Canis lupus familiaris: one gene and its partners. The protein of the gene in region 1 interacts with the protein of each later gene in a pairwise test. Links are inferred from orthologs where the notes say so. Each region holds a gene or a part of one and is shown in the gene's direction. Other genes may lie near its edges.

The links. The genes of interacting proteins can lie anywhere in the genome.
Region 2: the proteins of HOMEZ (region 1) and ELOA interact in binary tests that used the Homo sapiens proteins (3 or more experiments, as listed by UniProt). The two-hybrid records come from large-scale screens. The link is inferred for Canis lupus familiaris from reciprocal best matches to the Homo sapiens genes HOMEZ and ELOA.
Region 3: the proteins of HOMEZ (region 1) and LRRC7 interact in a two-hybrid assay, tested with the Homo sapiens proteins (2 studies listed by BioGRID). The two-hybrid records come from large-scale screens. The link is inferred for Canis lupus familiaris from reciprocal best matches to the Homo sapiens genes HOMEZ and LRRC7.

What each region holds. Positions count from the first base shown.
Region 1 is NC_049229.1:3,667,855-3,671,628, reverse strand, and holds the end of HOMEZ (homeobox and leucine zipper protein Homez), read left to right. Parts: intron 1-554; coding exon 555-2,152; 3' UTR 2,153-3,267; downstream 3,268-3,774. UniProt on the Homo sapiens protein: May function as a transcriptional regulator.
Region 2 is NC_049223.1:75,138,143-75,142,433, reverse strand, and holds the start of ELOA (elongin-A), read left to right. Parts: upstream 1-1,429; 5' UTR 1,430-1,464; coding exon 1,465-1,617; intron 1,618-4,291. UniProt on the Homo sapiens protein: SIII, also known as elongin, is a general transcription elongation factor that increases the RNA polymerase II transcription elongation past template-encoded arresting sites.
Region 3 is NC_049227.1:76,610,059-76,614,152, reverse strand, and holds the start of LRRC7 (leucine-rich repeat-containing protein 7), read left to right. Parts: upstream 1-1,232; 5' UTR 1,233-1,337; coding exon 1,338-1,339; intron 1,340-4,094.

The sequences.
Region 1 (3,774 bases):
CAGAAAGGAAGAGGAAAGGGGCTGGGGGCTGGGCAGAGGAACAGTGCTGTCCTTTCTAGATATTCCTCTTGTATTCCTCATTCGTCTTCACATTTTAGAGGTAATCATAAATTGTCAGGAGCTAAAGCATTTGCATCAGTTCTGAGATTACTGCACCCCATGGTTTTTGTGGTTGAGTTTTCATTTTGTGACTCTTGTGAACTTTGAGGGTGAAGTGAGTTTGAATTAGAAAAATAAAGGCAATATAAGGATGAATTTTCCTCCTTAACCTCTAAAGACAGAGTTTTGTCCTGGTGACAATATACACCAGTCGTGTCACTTGGGGTTAAATTAACTTCTATGGGACTTTGGTTTTTTCCATACATATGACAGGAATTATAACAGGCTCATAAAGTTAGGAAAATTAAATGAGAAATTATTAAAGCACTGTAAAGGCAATTCAACACGGTACACATAGACGATTGAATTGGAGTCCAACATTTTGTTTGGCAGAAATTGAACAATGGGCTGAAAGAGGAGCCCCAGTGATTGAGCTGTTTCTCTTCTTATTACAGCTATCTCTGAAGGGCACAAATCAGAAAACACCATGCCTCCTAATAAAGAGGCCAGCAGTCTTAATAGCTCCCCGGCGGGGCTCATCTGCCTCCCTCCAATCTCCGAGGAGCTACAGCTTGTGTGGACCCAAGCAGCCCAGACCAGTGAGCTGGATGGCAATGAACACTTGCTACAAACCTTCAGCTACTTTCCCTATCCCAGTCTAGCAGACATTGCCCTTCTCTGCTTACGCTATGGGCTGCAGATGGAGAAAGTCAAGACTTGGTTCATGGCCCAGCGCCTCCGCTGTGGCATTAGCTGGTCATCTGAAGAAATAGAAGAGACTCGAGCCCGAGTGGTCTACCATCGGGACCAGCTCCATTTCAAATCCCTTCTGTCTTTTACTCATCATGCAGGGCGGCCCCCAGAGGAGGTGCCTTCTTCAATGCCACCTCCAGAACAAATGGGTCTTGGAATAGTGCCCCTGACTCTTAGTGAGCCCACTCAGATGAAAGGATTGAAGGTAGAGCCTGAGGAGTCCTCAGAGCTGCTGAGTCAGCAGAAGGCAAAGGAACCCCTGATTGCACCTGGCAGTGGGGCATTCCCCCACCAATCAGATTTTTGGCAGAATCTTCAAAGCAGTGGCCTCTCTAAGGGGCAGTCAGGCAGGGGTCCCAACCAGTCACATGGGCTAGATTCTGCTTCCTGGAACCACTCCACAGCTGTCCACCAGCCATGTGCTCGGGAAAAGCCCCCCCCAATCTCACTACTTACTAGTAGTTGTAAGCAGGAGTCAGTATCTAATATGACTCCTTCTTCTTCCTCTACCTCTTCTTCCACTTTCCCGGTACTGGCTAATGGAGCTACTGCCACCTCTAAACCCCTCCAGTCACTGGGCTGTATCTCACAGCCACTGTCACCCAATGAACAGGCACTGCCCCCACATCTGGAGCCAGCCTGGCCTCAGGGGCTAAGACATAACTCAGTACCAGGTAGGGTTGGCCCTGCAGAGTACCTTTCCCCAGATATGCAACGCCAGCGAAAGACCAAACGCAAAACCAAAGAGCAGCTGGCTATCCTCAAATCCTTTTTTTTACAGTGCCAGTGGGCACGGCGTGAGGATTACCATAAATTAGAACAGATCACTGGTTTACCTCGGCCTGAGATTATTCAGTGGTTTGGTGACACACGCTATGCCTTGAAGCATGGGCAACTAAAATGGTTTCGGGACAATGCAGTACCTGGTGTCCCTAGTTTCCAGGACCCAGCAATTCCCACACCCCCACCTTCAACCCGATCCTTGAATGAATGGGCTGAGACACCACCTCTGCCAAACCCCCCACCCCCACCGGATATACGACCCTTGGAGAGGTATTGGGCAGCCCACCAACAGCTACGGGAAAGTGATATCCCTCAACTGAGTCAGGCATCAAGGCTTAGCACCCAGCAGGTACTGGATTGGTTTGACTCTCGATTACCTGAGCCAGCTGAGGTGGTGGTTTGTCTAGATGAAGAGGAGGAAGAGGAGGAGGAAGAACTGCCAGAAGATGATGAGGATGAAGAGGAGGAGGAGGAGGAAGATGACGATGACGATGATGATGTGATCATACAGGACTGAGTCGAGGGGACTAGGGGAGGGAAGGTCTGTTACTAAAAGATGAACCAACTTAGTAACTGTTTAAAGAAACCACATTTTTTAAATTACCTTGTGGCAAAGAACTGAAAAGCTTTGTGTTCTTGAGGTTGGGGGATTGGGAATGTAGTGAGGGTGGACCAGGGACGATGACCATAGGACCCAAAGAGAAAGGTGGGGATTGGATGGGCAGAAATCAGGGTTCTAGTCTCAATGAAGACAGTGCTAAGGATCTGGTCCATGAGCTGGGAAAAGACTTTTGGTCTCTTCAAGTCTGCTGTTCTTTTCCCTTAGTGTACTATGGAGAGGCCAGACCTTGGCCCCACATCTATAGGAGGATTGGAAAGGAGGAGTAAAGAATTTTGATTCAGTTGATGATTACAGTGCATCCCCCAATCCCACCATTTTCCCTAGAATGTAAGGCTGCTTCGCACCTCTTCTCTCTGAGCACAAGTCCATGCCATAATATAGCTATGAGTCTTAGTATGTCCCAGTCTCATCACAAGTATTTCCTTAACGCACACCAACTTGACTGTATCTTTTACCTTCCTCGTTACTGAGTTGCACAGGTAGCAGAAAGTTTTCATTTTTGATACTGGGACCATCTTGCCTTGTACTTCTTAAATCTTTTTCCAAAATCCCCATTCTGTTCACTATTTGTCTCAGGGTAAATCTTCCCCATGGAGCTTGTGAAAAGTTTAATAATTGGGTGGAGAGTAATTTAGATTGGATATTTATTGGATGTGGGAATTAGGGGGAATGTCCTTTTAAAAAGTAGAATTAGGTTATGGAGAGATAGAGAAGAGGGATAGTTTCTACTGTTCAGAAGGTGGGTGCAGGTAGGTTCCAGGTTTGGTTTTACAAACCTGAGACTCCCTCCTGCCTAGCTTGACAGAGACTAATTTTTCATCTTTTTGGTGTTGGTTCAATTTGTGTCTGTAATTGAGACTTTTCCCTCTCTTTATAGGATCTGTCTTGGGGACAGAGGGACCCTGGTCTTTAACTGACTTGATTATTGATATCAACGGGTAACCATCTAGAAATAAAAGTGGAAGCCCCAAATTGCTAGAATAATAATAAAAAGGCCAAAAATAAAATTATTTCTCTCTCCTCCACTTTGCCACTTCCATGGTTTAGAGATTAATGGAGCCAAATCCATTAACATTCTGATTTAGTATACTCCTTTTTTTTTTTTTTTTTGTAAAGCAGCAGGATATACTGAGGTAGATTAAAAAAAACAAAAACTTGGAGTGCCTGGATGACTCAGTCGGTTAGGTGTCCGATTCTTGGTTCCCGCTCAGGTTATGATCTCATGGGTTGTGAGATCAGGCTCCATACTCAGTAGGGCCTCTCCATGAGGATTCTCTCCTTCTCTCCCTTCCCTGCTCACATGCACACATGTGCTTGCTCTCTAAAATAAATACACCTTTAAAAAAATTTAAAAACAAAAACTTTAAAAGGCAGCACATTAGTATCTATCACTGGGCGGATCTGTTGCCTGTACCTGTATAGCACAGGCTCTTGCCCAGAAGAGGTGTCTAGAAGTGCCCTTAAAAAAATTCAGAGCTCCAGAAAGAATAGGCAATCCTGGTTCAGCTTCAAGGTCA
Region 2 (4,291 bases), on another chromosome or scaffold:
GGACCAGGACCAGAAGCCAAGTCTCCTCAAACCCTGCGTCATGCCTTTTCTGTTACACCCCACAAGTGAGGGGTCATTATGGACTTTTTAATCCACTGTCGATTATAACATCTGTATTGTGCTGTGCAGCAGAGATTTAAAGCTGGACAGGTTGGTCAGTGCACTTGATGAACAGCACGGTGGCAAGACAGAAGAATAAATTGGCTACCTACACCCTGAAAAGGGTCAGTTGCAGAGGGAGGGATACCAAGCTGAGTGGTGGGAATACAGTAGGGAGGGCTTCTCAGCACAGTGAGTGAATGAAAGCTCATTTGAAGAAACTATTCTCCCCTCCCACCCTTTGTCAGGACCTGGGATCTGGAAGGCTCTCTGGGCTTTCCCATATTGAGTGAGAGGGTGAGAGATCAGGCTAAGTACATCGCCAAGTTGCTGCTGGAGATTGGCTTAGGATCTAATGTGATCCAATCAAGCGAGATGTAATCAATGCTGATAATTTTAGTTTTCAACGGTTTCTTTGTTCTTTTATTAGTAATATAGTATTATTTAGTGCTTCTAGGATGATGTCTTGTGCTGGTCTGATTCAGCCCTTACTGCTTCAGGGAAACAGCCATTCATCTGTTCACTCAAGATGAATTTATTTGGTGCCTAGGTACCAGACACTGCTCTGGGGGAGAGCGAGACACAAGGCTATTATCTTGCCTCACGTAGCTAAGCTGTTTGACTTTTGACAAATCCCTGCCTCCCTCTGGCCCTCAATTCCTCGACCTACTCAGCGAGGTGCCCTCATGGTGAAGGTAAACCATTTAGACTCCGATGCCAGCTTCATCTCTTTCCTGTTGTGTGACCACAAGCGGGTTAATGTGGGCTCCCTGAGCCTGTTTCCTCATCTGTAAAATGGGGATAACTGAACCCGTCTCACCGGGTGGCACTGAGGGTGGAATACAGGGACCCCGCACCTGCGCTCGCGGCGCTCGGCCCCCGGTGGGCGGGTCGCGACCCGGGTGGGCGGGCCCCAGCCCCGCGGACAGGTGGGAGGCGGGGCGTGGCGAGGGTAGGACGGCGCCTGGCGCGGCAGCCGCATTCCGTCGGAACCCGACGGCGGAGAGGTTGGCTCGGCTGGGGCTCCGCGCCGAGGGCCGAAGCGGAGCAGCCCCCCCCGGCCCGCGCGTCCCCGCCCACGCGGCTGCCGAGCCGGTGCTGGGAAGCCGGCCCCCCCGCCCCCCCGCGCCGGGCCCTGGGGGCGTGGCCTGCAGCCGGCCGGCCGCCCCCTCCCCCTGCGCCCCCGCCCCCCCGCGCCGGGCCCTGGGGGCGTGGCCTGAGGCCGCCCCTCCCCCCTCCCGGGCCCTGGGGGCGTGGCCTGCGTCCGGCCGCCCCCCTCCGCTCCCCCGCGCCCCGCGCCCCGCGCCCCGCCTCGCCCCGCCGCCGAGGCCCGGAAGGGGCCCGTCGCTTCCGTCTCCGCCGGGGATGCACGGAGGGCGGAGCCGCGGCCCGAGGACGCGACGCGAGCCCAGTTCCGGCGAGGAGGCCGCGCCAGTGACAGCGATGGCGGCGGAGTCGGCGCTCCAAGTTGTGGAGAAGCTGCAGGCGCGCCTGGCCGCGAACCCGGACCCCAAGAAGGTGAGCGGGTGCGCAGCGCCGAGCCGGGCGGGCGTTGGGCGCGGCGCGGCCCCGTAACGGTCGCGGGCCCGGGCGCGGCGCCTTCCCGGCCGGCCCGGGCCGCGGGGGCTCGGACCCGGAGCCAGGCCCCGCCGGGCTGCGGCCTGAGTCGGCGGGTTCGCGGCCGGGGGGCGGCGGCGGGCGGGGGCGGGGGGCGGGGGGCGCGCTCCGTGCGGACGCGGCGGGCCGGCGGGGCCCCGGGCGGCTGTTCCGGGGGCCGAGCCCGCGGGCGCCGATCCCCTCCGCGAAGTGTGGCCGCTTCGCCGGCGTCCCCGGGCGGGCGCTGGGGGACGAGGAGCCGCTTCTCCGCGGGCCCCGCGCCTCCGACGGCCGTTCCTGCGGCTCTCCGCTTGCTCTCAACGTGGACCCTTCCGCTTGCCCAGAAATGCCCCTCGCAGCAAAACAGAATAGCCCTCCCGTCCCCTAGCCGGCCGGCACGCCCAAGAACTTAGGTTGCGATTGGAACACCCTCCCCCCACCCAAAAAAAGGTTAGAAGTTAGAGTCCGATTTCCTTCTGGCCTTGATAGGAAGGTAAGACCCACCTTTGCTCCTTGCTGTGAGTGATGGGCAACCATTTTTAATTGTGCTCCGCTAGTTTTCTGGGGGTTTTTGTTTGTTTTTTGTTTTTTAGCTGTTTTTGTTAGGTTAAATGCATTCCTTCCTCCCTCTCTCCCGACTTTGTTTTATCCAGCTTCTCGGTGTCTGGATGTTAGAATTTTTTTTTTTTAAGTGAAATACACTGATGAAAACACTTACGTGTCAGACGTTCTCAGTGTGCAGTTCCTAAGAGTTGGATCTCTGAGCCCCAGAGTGCGTTTTGAAGAGGAAGTAGTGGAGGGAGCCCGGCGAGATAAAGTGGTGGTGAGATTTGAGTTCTAATCCATTTACCAACCTTAGACGTTGGGGACTTATTTTGCTGAGTCTGTTTCCTCCCCTGCTTCTATCTAGGACCCAAGTCAGAGGGGAAAGGCCAGGCTCATAGGAAGTGCTCGGTAGATATTAATCGCCATTCTTTACAAGTTTTTTTTTTTTTTTTTTTCATGTGTTGTTTTTCTTTTTTCTTTTTTTTTTTTTTAATTTTTTTGAAGGGCTCCTTCCTCTTCACCTTGTTCCCAACCTGTCGTAGATAGGCTTTTTCCCTCCTACACAGCATCTCACCATCAGGCCACTTTTTTTTTTTTCTTCAAGATTTTATTTATTTATTCATGAGAGACACAGAGAGAGAGAGAGAGAGAGGGAGGGAGGCAGAGACGCAGAGACTTAGGGAGAGGGAGAAGCAGGCTCCATGCAGGGAGCCCGAAGTAGGCCTTGATCCCAGGTCTCCAGGATCACGCCCTGGGCTGAAGGCAGGCACTTAACCGCTGAGCCATCCAGGCATCCCTCATCAGGCCACTTTTTAACTCTTCTCATGCATAACTAGCTCAAAGAGCCACTTCTTCAGGAAGCCATTTTAGTTTTAAATCTGTGAAAACTTAAATGCTTTCCATTGTTCATATTATATCTCTCATTGCAGTTTCAGTACCTAGTGCCCAGACATATTTACAAGTTTCTTTTTACAATAACTCTTTGTGGACATCTAATAAATGGTCATTATTTCTGAGCACTAGCTGGTTTCCCTGAACACTGTAGGTTTCTGACTGATTTTTAAAATCTTAAAGCAGTATTATGTTACACCCTCCCCCCCTACCAGTTTGGTCTTTATCACTATGAGGTTGGGAAAAAAAAAAAAAAAAGGCACCATGTAGTATCTGTAGTTATTTTTCCATTACAATTTGAATTTTGAAGTAGCTTTTCTAGTTGATATGCATGAAATTTCAAATTAGGAAAAGATCTGTAGGCATCTCATCCTACTTGAATTATTAGTGATTATTGTGAGTGTTTGGGTTCTCACTCCCAGACAGCAAGCCACCCTAAACCTCTGCTTTTGCATTGTGAAGATGAGAAAATATTGGGAGATCCTTTTTGCAAAGGGCACAATAGTTGGCGTTCAGAAGTGAGCTAACTGCAGAGAGAAAACTGCAAGCTGGCACACTGGCCTTCTCAACCTTCTGTTAACCCAACAAGCTCCCACAGGTTGTTCTTGAAGTTGCAAGATGATTATATAGCAGGATTGAATTTGCATTTAACTCATGATTTCAAACCATTATTAGCCAAAGGGTTGATTTCAGACCTATATTCATGGATTTCCTCACATTAAACGTCAGTGTTAAACTGTAACTTTGTTTTACCTCTAAGTCCATCAGTGCTCTGGACATACTTGGGGAAAAGATATTAGACTAGGGTTACTTGGCTTCTCCTATTTAATTGGAAACTAGTTTTCATGGGTGGTAAAGTTACTTGTTCTGTATTACATTTTGAGTGTGAAAACTACCAACAACCCAGTTGATAGCAAGTGGAGAACAAGCATGTCAACATTATGAACATCTTTTGCTCTTTGGGTTGAAGGAGTGTGCAAAGGACAACTGAGCTTCCTAAGCGTGTACCATGCAAATGTTTGGCATTTCTCAATAAGCTGTTATCAGTTCTTGCAAACTCTGCAGTTGGTCCCTTGGTTTGATAACAGCAAGTTTCCATGTACCCAAGGATGCCCAAAGTGCTTTTACCTTGTTTCTGCTTTGTACTTTCTTGAACCTC
Region 3 (4,094 bases), on another chromosome or scaffold:
AGGTGCGGGGGCTGCAGGGTAGGTGCGGGGGGGGCGCAGGGGGGCTCGCGGGGGGGCCGCTCCGAGGGAGGACACTCGCGTCCTCGGCGGCCCGGCACCCGCGGCGGGGGCGGGGGCGGGGGCGGGGGCGGGGGCGGGGGCGGGAAGCCCGGGCGGCGCTGGGGGCCGCCTCTGCGCGGAGCGAGCGGGAGCCGCCGCCCGGCCGCCGCGTCACCGAGCCGGGGCGGGAGCGGGAGCCGGCGCGGGAGCGGGAGCGGGAGCCGGCGCGGGAGCCGGGGCGCGCGGGGAGGCGCCGAGGCCCGGAGCCGCCGCAGCCGCGCAGCCGCGCATCCGCCCAGCCGCGGGTCGCCGCGCCCCTGGGGCCCGGGCCGGCGGCGGGAGCAGCAGCGGGGGCCGGAGCGCCGCGGGCCGCCCCCACCCCCACCCCGCCCCCGCCCCCGCCCCCGGAGCACCGGCCCCGCGCGCCGCGGGCGGCGGGAGGAGCCCGCACGGCCCGGCCCTTTGTCCCGCTCGCAGCGGCGGCTCGGGCCGGAGCGCGCGGGCGGGCGCGGGTCGGGGCCCCGGCGGACTCGCATCGGAGCCCCGAGGCTTCGGGGGAGCCCGCGGGCAGGTCGCGGGGGCCGGCGAGGACGGCGGCGCGGGCCGGGGGCGGAGGACCGGGGCGCCCCCTCGGGTGGCCGCGCTCTCCTTGACGCCTCTCCCGCTCGGCGGCGGCTGCGGCGGGTGTCGTCGGAAGAGGGGGCGGGCGAGGAGCGCGGGGGCGGGGGCAGCGGAGGCTCAGCCCGCGGCCCGCGCCGCCCTCCGCGCCCGCGAGCCCCGCACCTGCGCGCCGGGGCCACCTGCCGCCGCCCGCGCCCCGCAGCGCCCCGCAGCGCCCCGCAGCGCCCCGCAGCGCCCCAGCGCCGGGCTCCCCGGGGGCCGCAGGCTGCGCACCGGGGCGCTCCGCCCGCCCAGCCCGGCCCGGCCCGGCTCATTGTGCGCCGCGCTCCTGGGGGCGGGGAGGGAGCCGCGCCGCCGCCGCCGCCGCCGCCGTGGTCGCTCGCGCGGCGCGCAGGGCGGGCGGAGGCAGGGCAGCCGAGGCGCTCGAGCCTCCCCGCCCGCCGGCGCTCGGGGCTCCCCTCGGCCGCGTTCCCCGGACCTGCCCGCTGCGCCCGGAGGGCCCCGGCACCATGGCGTGACGCGCCCCCGCGCCTCGGCCGGCCCGCGCCCCCCGCGCAGGCCCCCGCGCCAGGCCCCCGCGCCCGCGGCGCTGCGGACCCCGAGCACCCTCAGCAACCAGCCCGGGCGGCGGCACGACTCGCTCTCGCCAACCTCATGGGCAGTGGCTCCCGCCGGCGATGTGAGTAGCGCGCTCCTGCTTCGTGGCCCGGGGGGGGGGGGCGGGGGGCTGCGGGGACGCCGAGCGCCCGAGGTGCGGGGCTGGGGCGCCCCGGGGCGCTGTCGGGGAGCTGCCGGCCGGGCGCCCGCGGAGGCGGCGGGGAGCTGCGCGCTTGCGGGGCGCGCGGTGCCTTGGGCGCGGGCGCCGGCCGTGCGGGCGCCTGGGAGCCCCGGTGGCCCGGGCTGCCGGGGACCCTAAAGGGTTACATACTGCGAAAAGGGGAGGCGAGGAGCGAGGGCTGGGCGCGGGGGGCGCGGGGGGCGCGGGGAGCGCGGGTCCGGCCGGGCCGAGCCCCCGCCGTTATCCGGGCGAGGTGCTGCCTCCTCGCAGGTGCCCGAGGGACGGAGCGCCCATTTGGCCGTGCCCCCCCCCCCCCCACGCACACTTGTGGCAGGTCGCAAATGTCCCTTTATCTCGGCAGGTGTAGTATTACTGTTGGATGCCCGTTGGCTTGGGAAAGGCAATTAAGAGGATCTCGCTGCCTTTGGGACTGGAGGGGAAGGGTGGGGTTGGAGGGGGCTGGAGGGGGCGACGAGGGCGACAGGTTGGAGGGCCGAGGAAGCGGGGGAGCCACGGAGCCCGGGCAGTGGGGGTGCCTGTGCCCCCCCCCAGCCCCCGGAGCCGGGCAGCTCCTGCCCACACACCTCCTTTGTGTTGCAAAGGCGGAGCTGGAGACCCCGCGCGGTGCCCGGACCCACGCTGGGCCCCCTCCGCATCTCGTCCCCCGAGAGCCCCGAGGGATGCGGGACTCGTTGGGGATCCTCGGCGGCCGGGGGGGGGGCAGCGGGGGCAGGAGGTGCCCTGGGGCTCCTGGAGCGGCTCGCGCTCGTCTGCAGCCTCCGCGCGCGGGGTCCCCCCTGCGGGGAGCGGCCGGGGCCGGGGGCGCACGGGCTGCCGCGAAACATAGCGCGAGTTCGCAGGGGCGACGGCCGCACAGGTGCCTCCTCCGGCTGCTCCTCGGCCCGGGGCGGGGGGCGGGGGGCGGGGGGGGCGGCTCCGCCCGCCGAGTCCCGAGGGCGCAGCGCCCGGCGCACGGACCGGGTCGCTCGCGCAAGTCCCGGGATGCGCGATGGGCCTCGGAGCGCAGCCACCTGCGACTCCCACGCGCCTCTGGAAGTTCCCCTCCCCGAGGAGTTAGAGACGCCGCGGGCGGGGGCGGGGGGCGGGGCGGCGACCCCCAAGGGCCCGCACCTGCCCTCCGCGGCCACTTTGCCTCCGCGCGGGGAGCACCTGGGAGCCACCTGCGCTGCGAACTGGGTCGGACCCGACCCGGGGACCCGCGGCCGGGAGCGGTTCTACGTGATCCCGTTTTAACCTTGGCGACGCTTCCAAGCCCGGTGGAGGTTTCCGTGGCGTGGGCGGCGGGAGCGCATTCCGGCGGAGGCAGGACACGTGATCGCCCCGACGGGAGAGGCCGGTCCGGGCGCCCGACTCTCTTTGTTCCGGGCTGAGCCCCGCGCCCGCCCCCCGCAGCTCGGGCCCGCGGCCCAGGGGGGCTGGAGGGGCTGCCCCCCCGCGGGGCCCCGGTGGAAGCCAGGCGGTCCTCCCGGGGACGCGGCGGAAAAGTTCTGCAGCCCCTGCGCACGTGGGCTCCCGGCGCGCTCCGCCACCTGCCGGCCGCGCCCGGCCACCTGCCCCCACCGCCCGGGACGCCCGGGCTCGCTCTGCCAAAGGCTGCAGACGGGGGTCGGGGTCGCGTCCCTGCTTCCGAGCATCCTTCGGCGCATCCTTCAGCGCCCGGGGCGGGCTGGAGACGAGGGGGCGGGGGGGTAGCCCTAGTTCTCCGCCCACCTGTGTGTCGAGGTACCAGACCTGGAGGCCCCGACCTGGAGTCTCCGACGTGGTGGCCCCCCACCTGGAGGCCCTCACTGGGAGGTTCCCCACCTGGAGGTTGCCACCTGGAGGCTCCCCACCTGGAGGCCCTCACTTGGAGGTCCCCACCTGGAGGTCGCCACCTGGAGGCCCCCCACCTGGAGGCCCTCACTTGGAGGTCCCCACCTGGAGGTCCCCACCTGGAAGCTCCCCACCTGGAGGCCCTTACTGGGAGGTTCCCCACCTGGAGGTCCCCTGGAGGCCCCCACATGGAGGCCCCCACATGGAGGTCCTGACCTGGAGTCCCCGACGTGGTGGCCCCCACCTGGAGGCCCTCACTGGGAGGTTCCCCACCTGGAGGTTGCCACCTGGAGGCCCCCCACCTGGAGGCCCTCACTGGGAGGTTCCCCACCTTGAGGTCCCCTGGAGGCCCCCACATGGAGGTCCTGACCTGGAGTCCCCGCCGTGGTGGCCCCCACTTGAAGGCCCTCACTGGGAGGTCCCCACCTGGAGGCCCCCACCTGGAGTCCCCGACGTGGTGGCCCCCACCTGGAGGCCCCCACCTGGAGGCCCTGACCTGGATGCCCGCCCCCCTGACCTGGAGGCCCCGATCTGGGGGCCCCCCACCTGGAGGCCGCTGATTTCGTTTTTCCGCCCGTGTTGTACTTGCCGCCCCCGTGGGCTGAAGTCTCGCCCGGGGCGGGCCTGCATCGTGTCTGCGTGGCGCTGGGAAGCGCAGCCCATCCCCGTGACATATTGTGGAGGGAGACTTCTTTATACATTTTTTTATACTTCGCTGTCCAAGAGAGGATGGGTGCTTACCATGGCAACCCTTACATCCTCCATCACGTGTGCCTGCACATATGCGGCTTCAGAATTAGAAACGACTCCTTAAAGAAATAAG